3 linked regions of the Sus scrofa genome follow. The protein of the gene in region 2 purifies or fractionates together with the protein of the main gene of each other region. This does not show direct contact. Links are inferred from orthologs where the notes say so. Each region holds a gene or a part of one and is shown on either strand. Other genes may lie near its edges. The genes, in order: FBXW7, MYCBP2 and FBXO45.

The links.
Region 1: the proteins of MYCBP2 (region 2) and FBXW7 purify together in Homo sapiens (affinity purification with mass spectrometry; 6 studies listed by BioGRID and IntAct, counting the BioPlex papers as one, with this or other methods). This does not show direct contact. The link is inferred for Sus scrofa from reciprocal best matches to the Homo sapiens genes MYCBP2 and FBXW7.
Region 3: the proteins of MYCBP2 (region 2) and FBXO45 purify together in Homo sapiens (affinity purification with western blotting; 7 studies listed by BioGRID and IntAct, with this or other methods). This does not show direct contact. The link is inferred for Sus scrofa from reciprocal best matches to the Homo sapiens genes MYCBP2 and FBXO45.

The regions. Positions count from the first base shown.
Region 1 is NC_010450.4:76,691,388-76,695,042, reverse strand, and holds part of FBXW7 (F-box/WD repeat-containing protein 7), read right to left. Parts: intron 1,511-3,655; coding exon 1,285-1,510; intron 1-1,284. UniProt on the Homo sapiens protein: Substrate recognition component of a SCF (SKP1-CUL1-F-box protein) E3 ubiquitin-protein ligase complex which mediates the ubiquitination and subsequent proteasomal degradation of target proteins.
Region 2 is NC_010453.5:49,216,363-49,220,017, reverse strand, and holds part of MYCBP2 (E3 ubiquitin-protein ligase MYCBP2), read left to right. Parts: coding exon 1-1,386; intron 1,387-3,128; coding exon 3,129-3,298; intron 3,299-3,655. UniProt on the Homo sapiens protein: Atypical E3 ubiquitin-protein ligase which specifically mediates ubiquitination of threonine and serine residues on target proteins, instead of ubiquitinating lysine residues.
Region 3 is NC_010455.5:133,547,519-133,550,809, forward strand, and holds part of FBXO45 (F-box/SPRY domain-containing protein 1), read right to left. Parts: intron 702-3,291; coding exon 516-701; 3' UTR 1-515. UniProt on the Homo sapiens protein: Component of E3 ubiquitin ligase complex consisting of FBXO45, MYCBP2 and SKP1. Functions in substrate recognition but also plays an important role in assembly of the complex.

The sequences.
Region 1 (3,655 bases), on a different chromosome or scaffold from region 2:
GATAACAAAACCAAAGTATATATAGTACCTCTTCTCCAGCTTCCCAGCTATACCCCAGGTCGATAAATACCTACCCGTTCCCAGATCTATAATAATGTTGCTACCTCTTTTCTCAATCTAATAGTTTATTTAAATGAGATTATTTTATTCATTATGGGTCTGAGCATATCACAAAACATAAACACAATTGCAGCCTATTCCCTCTCCTCCAAATTCATAAACTTTTCTAAGTTAACAGATATCTTTACTATATGTCAATATTTCGTGACATAGATAGTAATCCAACAGTTAAGACACAAATACCCCAAGAAAAGAACTGTGAGCCTTGGGACTACAGATGAATTTGCTGATCACTAATGGGTAGTAACTGGTAAAGAAACTACATGTAAGGAATAGGTAACACAGCTGACCCTTGCTTGAACAAGTTGAGTTTGAACTGCAAAGGTCCATGCTTACACTCAAATTTCTTTCACTAAACACCTACTACAAGACTACACAATTGGAGATTACTTGGATTCTTGGATGCGGACGTGCAGATACCGAGGGCCAGGTGTAAAGTTGCGTAAGGGTATCCGACTGCAGTTGAGGGTAGGTGGGGGTGAGGTCGGCGCCCCTGAGTCCCATGATGTTCAAGGGTCAGCTATATTTTTGAACTGAAAGTTTTGTCTTTTAGGACCTGAAACAAGACCCATTTGCTAAGCTTGCTATGCATCTAGTTATTTATGGCAAAATATGGCAATCTATTCTGGGATATCAGGTTCAAATGAAAACAAAATCAAAAATCAGTTTCATTAAATTTACTTCCTCATGACTACAAACCAGCGGCCCTGTGATGGTAGCACAGCTCTGAGCAGAAAGCTCTGCTTCTGCCCTGAATGGAGTGGCAATTACAAGGTCCATCAACTTCCAGCTATCAAGGCAAAAAGGGCAGCTTTTGGCCAAATTAATCCTCTGCTAAGGAGTTTATTAAAATCCACGTTATTCTCCTGTGAGACTATGTACCCATTAATTAATACAGCAAAATTTAGGGCCCCAAAGGCTCAGGTTCCAAGACAAAATATTTGTGTTTTAGAAGGAAATGAATCATGGAAAAATGGAAACAAATCATTTCAGTCATCTCAAAATGTCTGCTTTTTCCTGCCAATGTTAAGGTAAAGGTAAAGAGAATAATTCAACTGGGCTTTTTCTGGGCTGTACTGGACCAGCAGCGTGCAGTGGCCATCAAGGTGAGGCAAGCTGCCGCCGCATCACTAGGCACTCAGGAGCGGGAGGTGGGTCTCCTACCTGTAACGAGTAGACCCTGTTGGTGTGCCCCTGCAACGTGTGCAGGCAGGTCTCCGTCTCGGGGTCCCACACTTTCACCATGAAGTCATACGCTCCGCTCACAACCCTCCTGCCGTCGTACTGGACACAGCGGACCGCTGCCACGTGACCCATCAAAACGTGTAAACACTGGCCTGTCTCAATATCCCAAACCCTAAGAGTGGCATCGCGAGAACCACTAACAACTCTGCAGGGAGAAACGGAAAAGAAGGCAGCAGCATTTTAATAACACGGGAAAACCGGATATATGAAGTCAGGGGGGATGAAAACTTTTCTCCTTTTTTAAGCAGCAACACTTGCGTTCAAAAGGAACACACGCTAGATAAAACCAACCTTGCTATATAAACCTCTACAGGCTGAGTGACTCTGGTGGGGACAGGCAGTTGGAAAGCCTAGACTCCTGCCTGTTGGGTTCCCCCACTGCTTGAGGGCTCCAGGAGCAGCTTAGGGTCCCATGGAACAGTGTGAAAATGACTGTACTGTAATTAGCAAAGACAAAGAGGAAGAAGAGGAAAAAGAAGTCAGAGAAAGTAAATAAACAGCAGCAGGAGTAGCAGAAGCAGCCAGTTCTGAATACATACAAGCAGATCTTGATGTTAGAAATAAAATGCTGAGGTGGGCAACATGCGTAAAATGTTAATGGGTGGTAGTTGTCTGAAAAATTGACATTTTCTTTATTCTTTCTGCCATGTCCCCAAATTTTAATAATGAACACATACTTCCTTTGCGATCAGGGAAAAATTTCAACAAAACACATCGGAATTTGGCATTTAAAAAGCTAAAGATATGTGCTTTACACCACATACTCTGGTCAAATTAACCAGTCTTCAACATATCCTCAAACAAAGGCTGCTTTTATGCTTATATTTAAAACTAGTCAATAGGCCAGGGAAAGCATTAAGATATACAGATTACAGGAGTTCCCGTCGTGGTGCAGTGGTTAACGAATCCGACTAGGAACCATGAGGTTGCGGGTTCAATCTCTGCCCTTGCTCAGTGGGTTGACGGCGTTGCCATGAGCTGTGGTGTAGGTTGCAGATGCGGCTCGGATCCCACATTGCTGTGGCTCTGACGTAGGCCAGTGACTATAGCTCCGATTAGACCCCTAGCCTGGGAACCTCCATATGCCACGAGAGCGGCCCAAGAAATGGTAAAAAAAAAAAAAGATATACAGATTACAGAAGAAACGTAGGTAGAGGCAACAGAAATCCCTTAAAAATCATCCCAACATTATTAAACTGATACTCTTCTGAGAACCAGACTGATAGAAATACTCCAGTTACCTTTGGATTACAAAGGCAAGCTGAAAACTCAGGCGAATTTACATCATTCCAAATAGGTAAAGAGTTTCCAGGTTTGGAAGAGTAGAAAATGGAAGCACTGAGAGACTGAAGTCAGAAACTACTGGCAACTGAAATGCAAGGTCTCTGGATACCAATCCCCCCAGTTTTAACAGCAGCGTGCACTGTTCAGAGCAGATTCAAATTACATGTGAAAAGGTACTTTTCTTCACATATTACAAATCTAGAGTGAAATCTGCTTAATGTAATGGTTCTTAATAAGGAAGATGCTACGGACAGAATTAACGGTGACGACTGGAGTGGCTTCACTCTAAGGACCCTTCAGAGAGACCTCTTCCGACAAATGGGACAGAAATCACATCTGTTTAACAGGAGTACCATGCATACGAACAGGAGACAGAAGGGACTTGCACAGGGAAGCTTTGCAGGAGGAGATAAAAGCAACAGCGAAGGTGCTGAGAAGAAAAAGGCAAGCGGTCTGGTTCGGCTGAAACTATTTTGGAAACCGGATTGAGGGTTTCTTTGTTAATTCGGTCAGCAGTGATACGACGGTAATTAGAGGAGGTTCTGTGTAAGAGTCTGAACGCTATGTCCATAGTTTGGGTGATAGGTAAGGAGAATAAGTTAATCCCACAGGCCTCGGTTTCTGCCTGAGACGACCCAGTTTATGACCGAGTCGGGGCAGGGCAGGTGGGTAAGTAAAGACTCAGAGGCTTGAAGACTGAATAACTGAATTTGTCCTACTTCCAGAAATATACGCTCCGTCCAATTTTTTTTTTTTTTTTATGATGATGCATCATCCAAGATTTAGAAAAATTAAGTAAGGTATTAGTCAAGATTAGAGAATAGAGAGGTTCAAGGGGAAGGCCAAGAACACTGTTAAATGAGGAAGGAAGCGTAAAGCAACTGCCCGATTTTAAGGCAAGACACCATGGTTTTCCTGGCAGAGAACATCTGAAGTTGACTAATTAACATCTAATTTAAGAGCACGTTATCACTGTCTATTAGACACAGTAATACGACGGAACGCT
Region 2 (3,655 bases):
CTGATGGGCGGATGTCTTCTAGCTTCAGAGCTGAATCCCCAGGACCAGGTTCTCGGTCATCATCCCCTAAGCCAAAGACTCTCCCAGCCAGTAGGTCTAGCCCATCTGGCGCCAGTTCTCCGCGCTCCTCCTCACCGCATGATAAAAATCTACCTCAGAAAAGCGCTGCTCCCGTGAAGACGAAACTCGACCCTCCTCGGGAACGCTCCAAATCAGACTCTTACACCCTTGATCCAGACACCCTCCGCAAGAAGAAGATGCCCCTCACTGAACCATTAAGGGGACGGTCAACATCGCCAAAACCAAAACCAGTACCAAAGGATTCTAAAGAGTCCCCCGGATCTGAAAATAGAGCGCCTTCTCCCCACGTGGTGCAGGAAAACCTCCACAGTGAGGTGGTCGAAGTCTGCACTTCCAGTACTTTAAAAACAAATAGTGTCACAGACAGCACCTGTGATGAAAGCAGTGAGTTTAAGAGCGTGGATGAAGGTTCAAATAAAGTGCATTTCAGTATAGGAAAAGCACCACTGAAAGATGAACAGGAAATGAGAGCATCCCCCAAAATAAGTCGAAAATGTGCTAATAGGCACACCAGGCCCAAGAAGGAAAAATCTAGCTTTCTCTTCAAAGGAGATGGATCCAAACCTTTAGAGCCCGCCAAGCAAGCCATGTCTCCTTCCGTGGCTGAGTGTGCCAGGGCGGTCTTTGCCTCTTTCCTGTGGCACGAGGGCATAGTGCATGACGCCATGGCTTGTTCCTCCTTCTTAAAATTTAACCCTGAGCTTTCCAAAGAGCATGCCCCCATAAGAAGTAGTTTAAACAGCCAGCAGCCTACCGAGGAAAAGGAAACCAAATTGAAAAATAGACACTCATTGGAAATATCATCTGCGCTGAATATGTTTAATATTGCACCTCATGGACCAGATATATCTAAAATGGGTAGTATCAACAAAAATAAGGTATTGTCTATGCTTAAGGAACCTCCTCTGCATGAAAAGTGTGAAGATGGGAAAACTGAGGCCACTTTCGAAATGTCCGTGCATCACCCAATGAAGTCTAAATCTCCTCTTCCCTTAACTCTGCAGCATTTAGTGGCTTTTTGGGAAGACATCTCTTTGGCTACTATCAAAGCAGCTTCCCAGAATATGATTTTTCCAAGCCCTGGTTCATGTGCAGTCCTTAAAAAGAAAGAGTGTGAGAAAGAGAATAAAAAGGCCAAAAAAGAAAAAAAGAAGAAAGAAAAGACTGAAGTTCGGCCGAGGGGTAATTTGTTTGGTGAGATGGCCCAGCTGGCAGTAGGAGGACCGGAGAAAGATACCATCTGTGAGCTGTGCGGAGAGTCGCATCCCTACCCGGTGACATACCACATGAGGCAGGCCCACCCTGGTAAGCGATGCTGCTGTGTGTTTGTAAGTACTTTGTGTAAAAAATGAGTTGGGTCACATCTGACTTAAGTTATTCCATGAATTACCCTAAGATACAGGGAAGCTGTTGCCCAGAATTAATAGTATCTTATAATGTGATTTTTTTTTCTTTCTTTTTTTTCCTTTATCTCTTTACGGCCACACCTGCAGCATATGGAAGTTTCTGGGATCGCATGGAAGCTGCAGCTGAGGCCTACACCACAGCCACACATCAACAGAGCATCTGAGCTGCATCTACGACCTGTGCCACAGCTTGTGGCAATCCCAGATCCATAACCCACTGAGCGAGGCCAGGGACTGAGTCTGCATCCTCACAGAGACAACGTTGAGTCTTTAAAATGCTGAGCAACATTGGGAACTTATAATGTGATTTCAAAGTGTGTTATCAGGAGTTCCTGTTGTGGCTCAGCAGGTTAAGACTCCAACTAGGATCAAGGAAGATGGGGGTTTGATCCCTGGCCTCCCCCTGGATTAAAGGATCTGGCGTTGCCGTGAGTTGCAGCATAAAGTCAGACTCACTCGGCTCAGATCTGGCATTGCTGTGCTGTGGCATAGGCCAGCAACTGCAGCTCCGATTCAACTCCTAGCCTGAGAACTTTTATATGCCATGAGTGCGGCCCTAAAAGACAAAAAAAATTAAAAAATAAAAAGTAAACGCATTATCAACATAGGTTTTGTGGAAGATAGGTAAAAGAATTCTAATAGTGTGTAAGCCAGTTTAATACTATTTCATTTTAAAGTATTACAGTCTAAAATTTTGTTTCCTTTTGAAATGGTTTATGTGTTACCCAAAGGATGCTATTAAGATGTCTCACAAAATAGAATGTTGACATGTCCACACACATAGGGAGTATCCTAACATTAGGTCTTCTCTGGTTGTGTTGTTTTCCCGTTCAGAATTGTAAATTAGATTAGATTAGATTGGCTTCCTTGGGTATTTTCCTGTGGAAAAGAAAACTGTTTCATCAGAAGACAGTATTTTAGATAAATGTAACTATTTCTTTTTGTGTGTGTGTCATTTTTTTGTCTTTTTAGGGCTGCGCCCTTGGCATATGTAGGTTCCCAGGCTAGGGGTCCAATCGAAGCTGTAGCTGCCGACCTTCACCACAGCCACAGCAGCTCAGGATCCAAGCCTCATCTGTAACCTACACCACAGCTCACGGCTATGCCAGATCCTTAATCCACTGAGTGAGACCAGGGATCAGACCCGCGTCCTCATAGATACCAGTCAGGTTCACTGAGCCACAACGGGAACTCCAAATGTAACTATTTCTATAACAATTGATTCGTATTCCAAAATTTACCTATTATAAATTTGGGCAAATGTTTTTCTATCCCTACATATTACACTGAACCTTTTATAAAATACATGCTTTATAAAATATATCATTCTTATGGAATATTTTATACTCCTTTGTCCAATTTTTTGGGCATATTTAGAGAAATCTAAATGTACCCACATCTTGTGTTTCTCTTCATCTGCCCGTGTAGAGTATCTTCAGTATTTTAGGCATCATTTAATTGATTGCTTTTTGATCATGCCTGCAATTTTCCTGGTATAAGTAACAGCCTGGGGGAAAATAGGAAGTTAGATGTTTGCTTCAGTATTTCCCTTGGAGAAGAAAAGTCTTCATTTATGTGGCAAGGATCAGACTCTTAAGGACACTTAAAGTGTTAAGTATTTATTTGTATTCTCATTTCAAGGTTGTGGCCGGTATGCTGGTGGGCAAGGTTACAACAGCATTGGGCATTTCTGTGGCGGATGGGCCGGTAACTGTGGTGATGGCGGCATAGGGGGGAGCACGTGGTATCTTGTCTGTGACCGCTGCAGAGAAAAATACCTCCGTGAAAAACAGGCTGCTGCAAGGGAGAAGGTATTTTTCTTTTGTTCTGGATATACTGTTAATGGTAAGGGTGAACCTTATAAAAATGTCTTTTAATGATCATAATATCAACCAGCTCCACATGGTTGATATTAAAGGTCAGCTTTTATAACAGGAATAATATATAATTATTATTGATTTATGTACCAGGTCAGCTGTTCTTAATTACAAAAACAAATTGTATCTTGGAATAACACAAAACAACTAACCTGTAGCTTACATCCCTTATTGAGAAGTGTAATTTTTTATTATTAATTGCCTGCTACTCTACACATATGTATAGCTTTCAGCTTCACCTTTCTCTCTCTTTTTTTTCTTTTTTCTTCTCTTTCTTGATTCTTTATCTCC
Region 3 (3,291 bases), on a different chromosome or scaffold from region 2:
CACTGTTAGAGAAGTGCAGTCCAGGGAGACCATGCTTCTCAATATATTAAAAATATTAAATAAAATCCAACCAGTTTCATACTTTTCTAATAGTCAAGCTGGCTGGAAAAAAGGGTCTGGAGAAAAAACAGGCAGTTGTAAAACAGGATCAGTCTTCCTTCACAAACATACTACTTAAAACTCTCACTATTTCCTTAGCTTATCCCTTTTATACCATCTCTAAGATCTCACCTTAAAAGCTGGAAATACATCGCTAACTTAGAGACAAAATCTGTTGCAACATGCATATGTCAACTGCCCACTCAACCAACTGCAACCCTGAGGATTTTTCTGGCCCAGTAGAAAGGGGAAACACTAAGATAATTTCTGCTGTAGAGTTGCTTCTCCAGTTAACAATATCATGTGTTTTTCAGGATGTTTCTTGGGCATGCATGTATGACACTGTCACTTAATGATTCTACTTTCCACAAGCAGATAACTCCTCCACTCTGTCTTTCATCCCAAGAAAGCCACTGTCATCCATCCAAAGGTTTTCCAAGGTAAACCAAAGTCACTTCTGTGTTGCCATATACAGCAGAAACTGCTGGATATAAGCAGACCTTTGGAAGTCCTCTAAAGGCAACTCCCAGGAACTCATATCCACGTTCAAAAGCTAAAGTCTTATCTTCCATGTCCAAGATGACTCGAATTCTTTCTCCTATCTGTGAAAAAGACATCAAAAGAAGGTTAGAAGAAAACCCATTAAAGGCATAGTGAGAAGAAATAAACAAGTTGAAGATATTATGAAGAATATATATATCTCGGAGTTCCTGTCATGGTTCAACGGTTAATGAATCTGACTAGCACCCATGAGGATGCAGGTTTGATCCCTGGCCTTGCTCAGTGGGTTAAGGATCTGGTACTGTTGTGAGCTGTGATGTAGGTTGCAGACACAGCTTGGACCCTGCATTGCTGTGGCTTTTGCATTGGCAGCTACAGCTCCGAGTGGATCCCTAGCCTGGAAACCTCCATATGCCACAGGTGTGGCCCTTAAAAAAAAAAAAGATATATATATATATCTCAAAAGTTGTCTAGGAAAAAATAAAAGTTTTTCCACCAGGAGAAACATTTAGAAAAAGAATATACATTAATTTCATCACAAATCCCTGTGTTGATTTTTTTTTTAACTTAAGACTTATGTGGGATGGATCTACCTATCTATCTAAATATTTTTTTATGGTTGTACTTGTGGCATATGGAAAGTTCCAGGCCAGGGGTTGGATCCAAGACACAGCGGTGACCTATGCCACCACTGTGGCAACACCGGATCCTTTAATCCACTGCACAGGGCCAGGGAGCCAACCTGCACCTTAGCAGTGACCTGAGACACTGCAGTCAGATTCTTAACCCACTGCACTACAGTGGGAACTCTGGGATCTATATTTAATACTGGAAAATTTAAATATTCCTCCTTAACAGTCCCCAGATTTTATTTACTCTTTTTTGGGGGCTGTGTCTGTGACATGTGGAAGTTCCTGGGCCAGGAATCAAGCCCAAGCCACATCAGTGACAACACTGGATCCTTAATAGGTAGGCTACTAGGGAACTCCCTTTATTTACTCATTTTAAAGGCTTTTTCTTAAGAAGCTTATCACTAAACTCTAAAATTTGGTCTATTTTACCAATAAAAGCTATCTAGGTTTTCTCAAATTACTACAGTACATGCATACAATAGAATGTTATTCAACCTTGAAAAGAAATGAAATTTTAATATGTGCTACAACATGAAAGGACTTTGAAAAAATTATGCTAAGAGAAATAAGCTAGACACAAAAATACAAATATCATATGATTCCACTTATATCAAGCACCTGGAATATTCAAATTCATATAGACAGAAAACTGACAGATGTTACCAGAAACTGAGGGGGAGGGAGAAATGTGGAATTATTGTTCAGTGAGCACAGAGTTTATGCTGGGGATAATGGAAAAGTTTAGGGTGTATATACAACAAAGTTTTGGGTGATGGTTGCACAACATTGTGAATATATTTAATGCCACTAAATTATTCACTTACAAACAGTTAAAATAATAAATACTGTTGTGTATATTTTACCACAATAAAAAAATTAACTGTGGGGAGGTCCCATCATGGCGCAGCGGAAACGAAATCCAACTAGTATCCATGAGGTTGAGGGTTCAATCCCTGGTCTCGCTCAGTGGGTTAAGAATCTGACAACAACAACAACAACAACAACAACAACAACAACAAAAAAGACAAAACACACACACACAAAAAAAGGAGTTCCCGTCGTGGCGCAGTGGTTAACGAATCTGACTAGGAACCATGAGGTGGCGGGTTCGGTCCCTGCCCTTGCTCAGTGGGTTAACGATCCGGCGTTGCCGTGAGCTGTGATGTAGGTTGCAGACGCGGCTCGGATCCCGAGTTGCTGTGGCTCTGGCGTAGGCCGGTGGCTACAGCTCCGATTCAACCTCTAGCCTGGGAACCTCCATATGCCGCGGGAGCGGCCCAAGAAATAGCAACAACAACAACAAAACAACAACAAAAAAGACAAAAGACAAAAAAAAAAAAAAAAAGAATCTGGCATTGCCGTGAGCTGTGGTATAGGTCACAGACATGGCTTGGACCCACGTTGCTGTGGCTGTGGCTGTAGTGTAGCCCCTCAACTGCAGCTCCGATTAGACCTCTAGCCTGGGAACTTCCATATGCTGCAGATGCGGCCTTAAAAAGCAAAAAAATAAATAAATAAAAATAAATTAACTGTAATAAAACACTTACATAGCCTTTAAAATTAACAAAGCTATTCTTATTCAACAGCCTAGTGTGGTCTACTACTCTGAAAGACCTGTTATAAAATAAGCAGCACTGACCATTAAACTAAACTAGAAGGACAATTATCCAGTTCTTTCCCCATTTGGAAAAGGAAGTAAAGAAATAGGATGCTTTGGAGTTCCCATTGTGGCTCAATGGATTAAGAACCTGATATAGTATCTGTGAGGATGAGGATTCAATCCCTGGCCTTGCTCAGATCCGGCATTGCCGAGAGCTGCGGCGTAGGTCACAGATGTGGCTCAGATCCAGCATTGCTGTGGCTGGCAGCTGCAGCTCCGATTCAAACCCTAGCCTGGGAACTTCCATATGCTGGGGATGTGACCCTAAAAAAAGAAAAAAAAAAAAAAAAAAGTTGTTGCATCTGTATATTTGGAGGCAGAAAGTCCTAGTATTTGCAGTTAAAAATCACAATTTAATACTCCCCCATTTCCTTCACTGTTATTCATATCACAAATAAC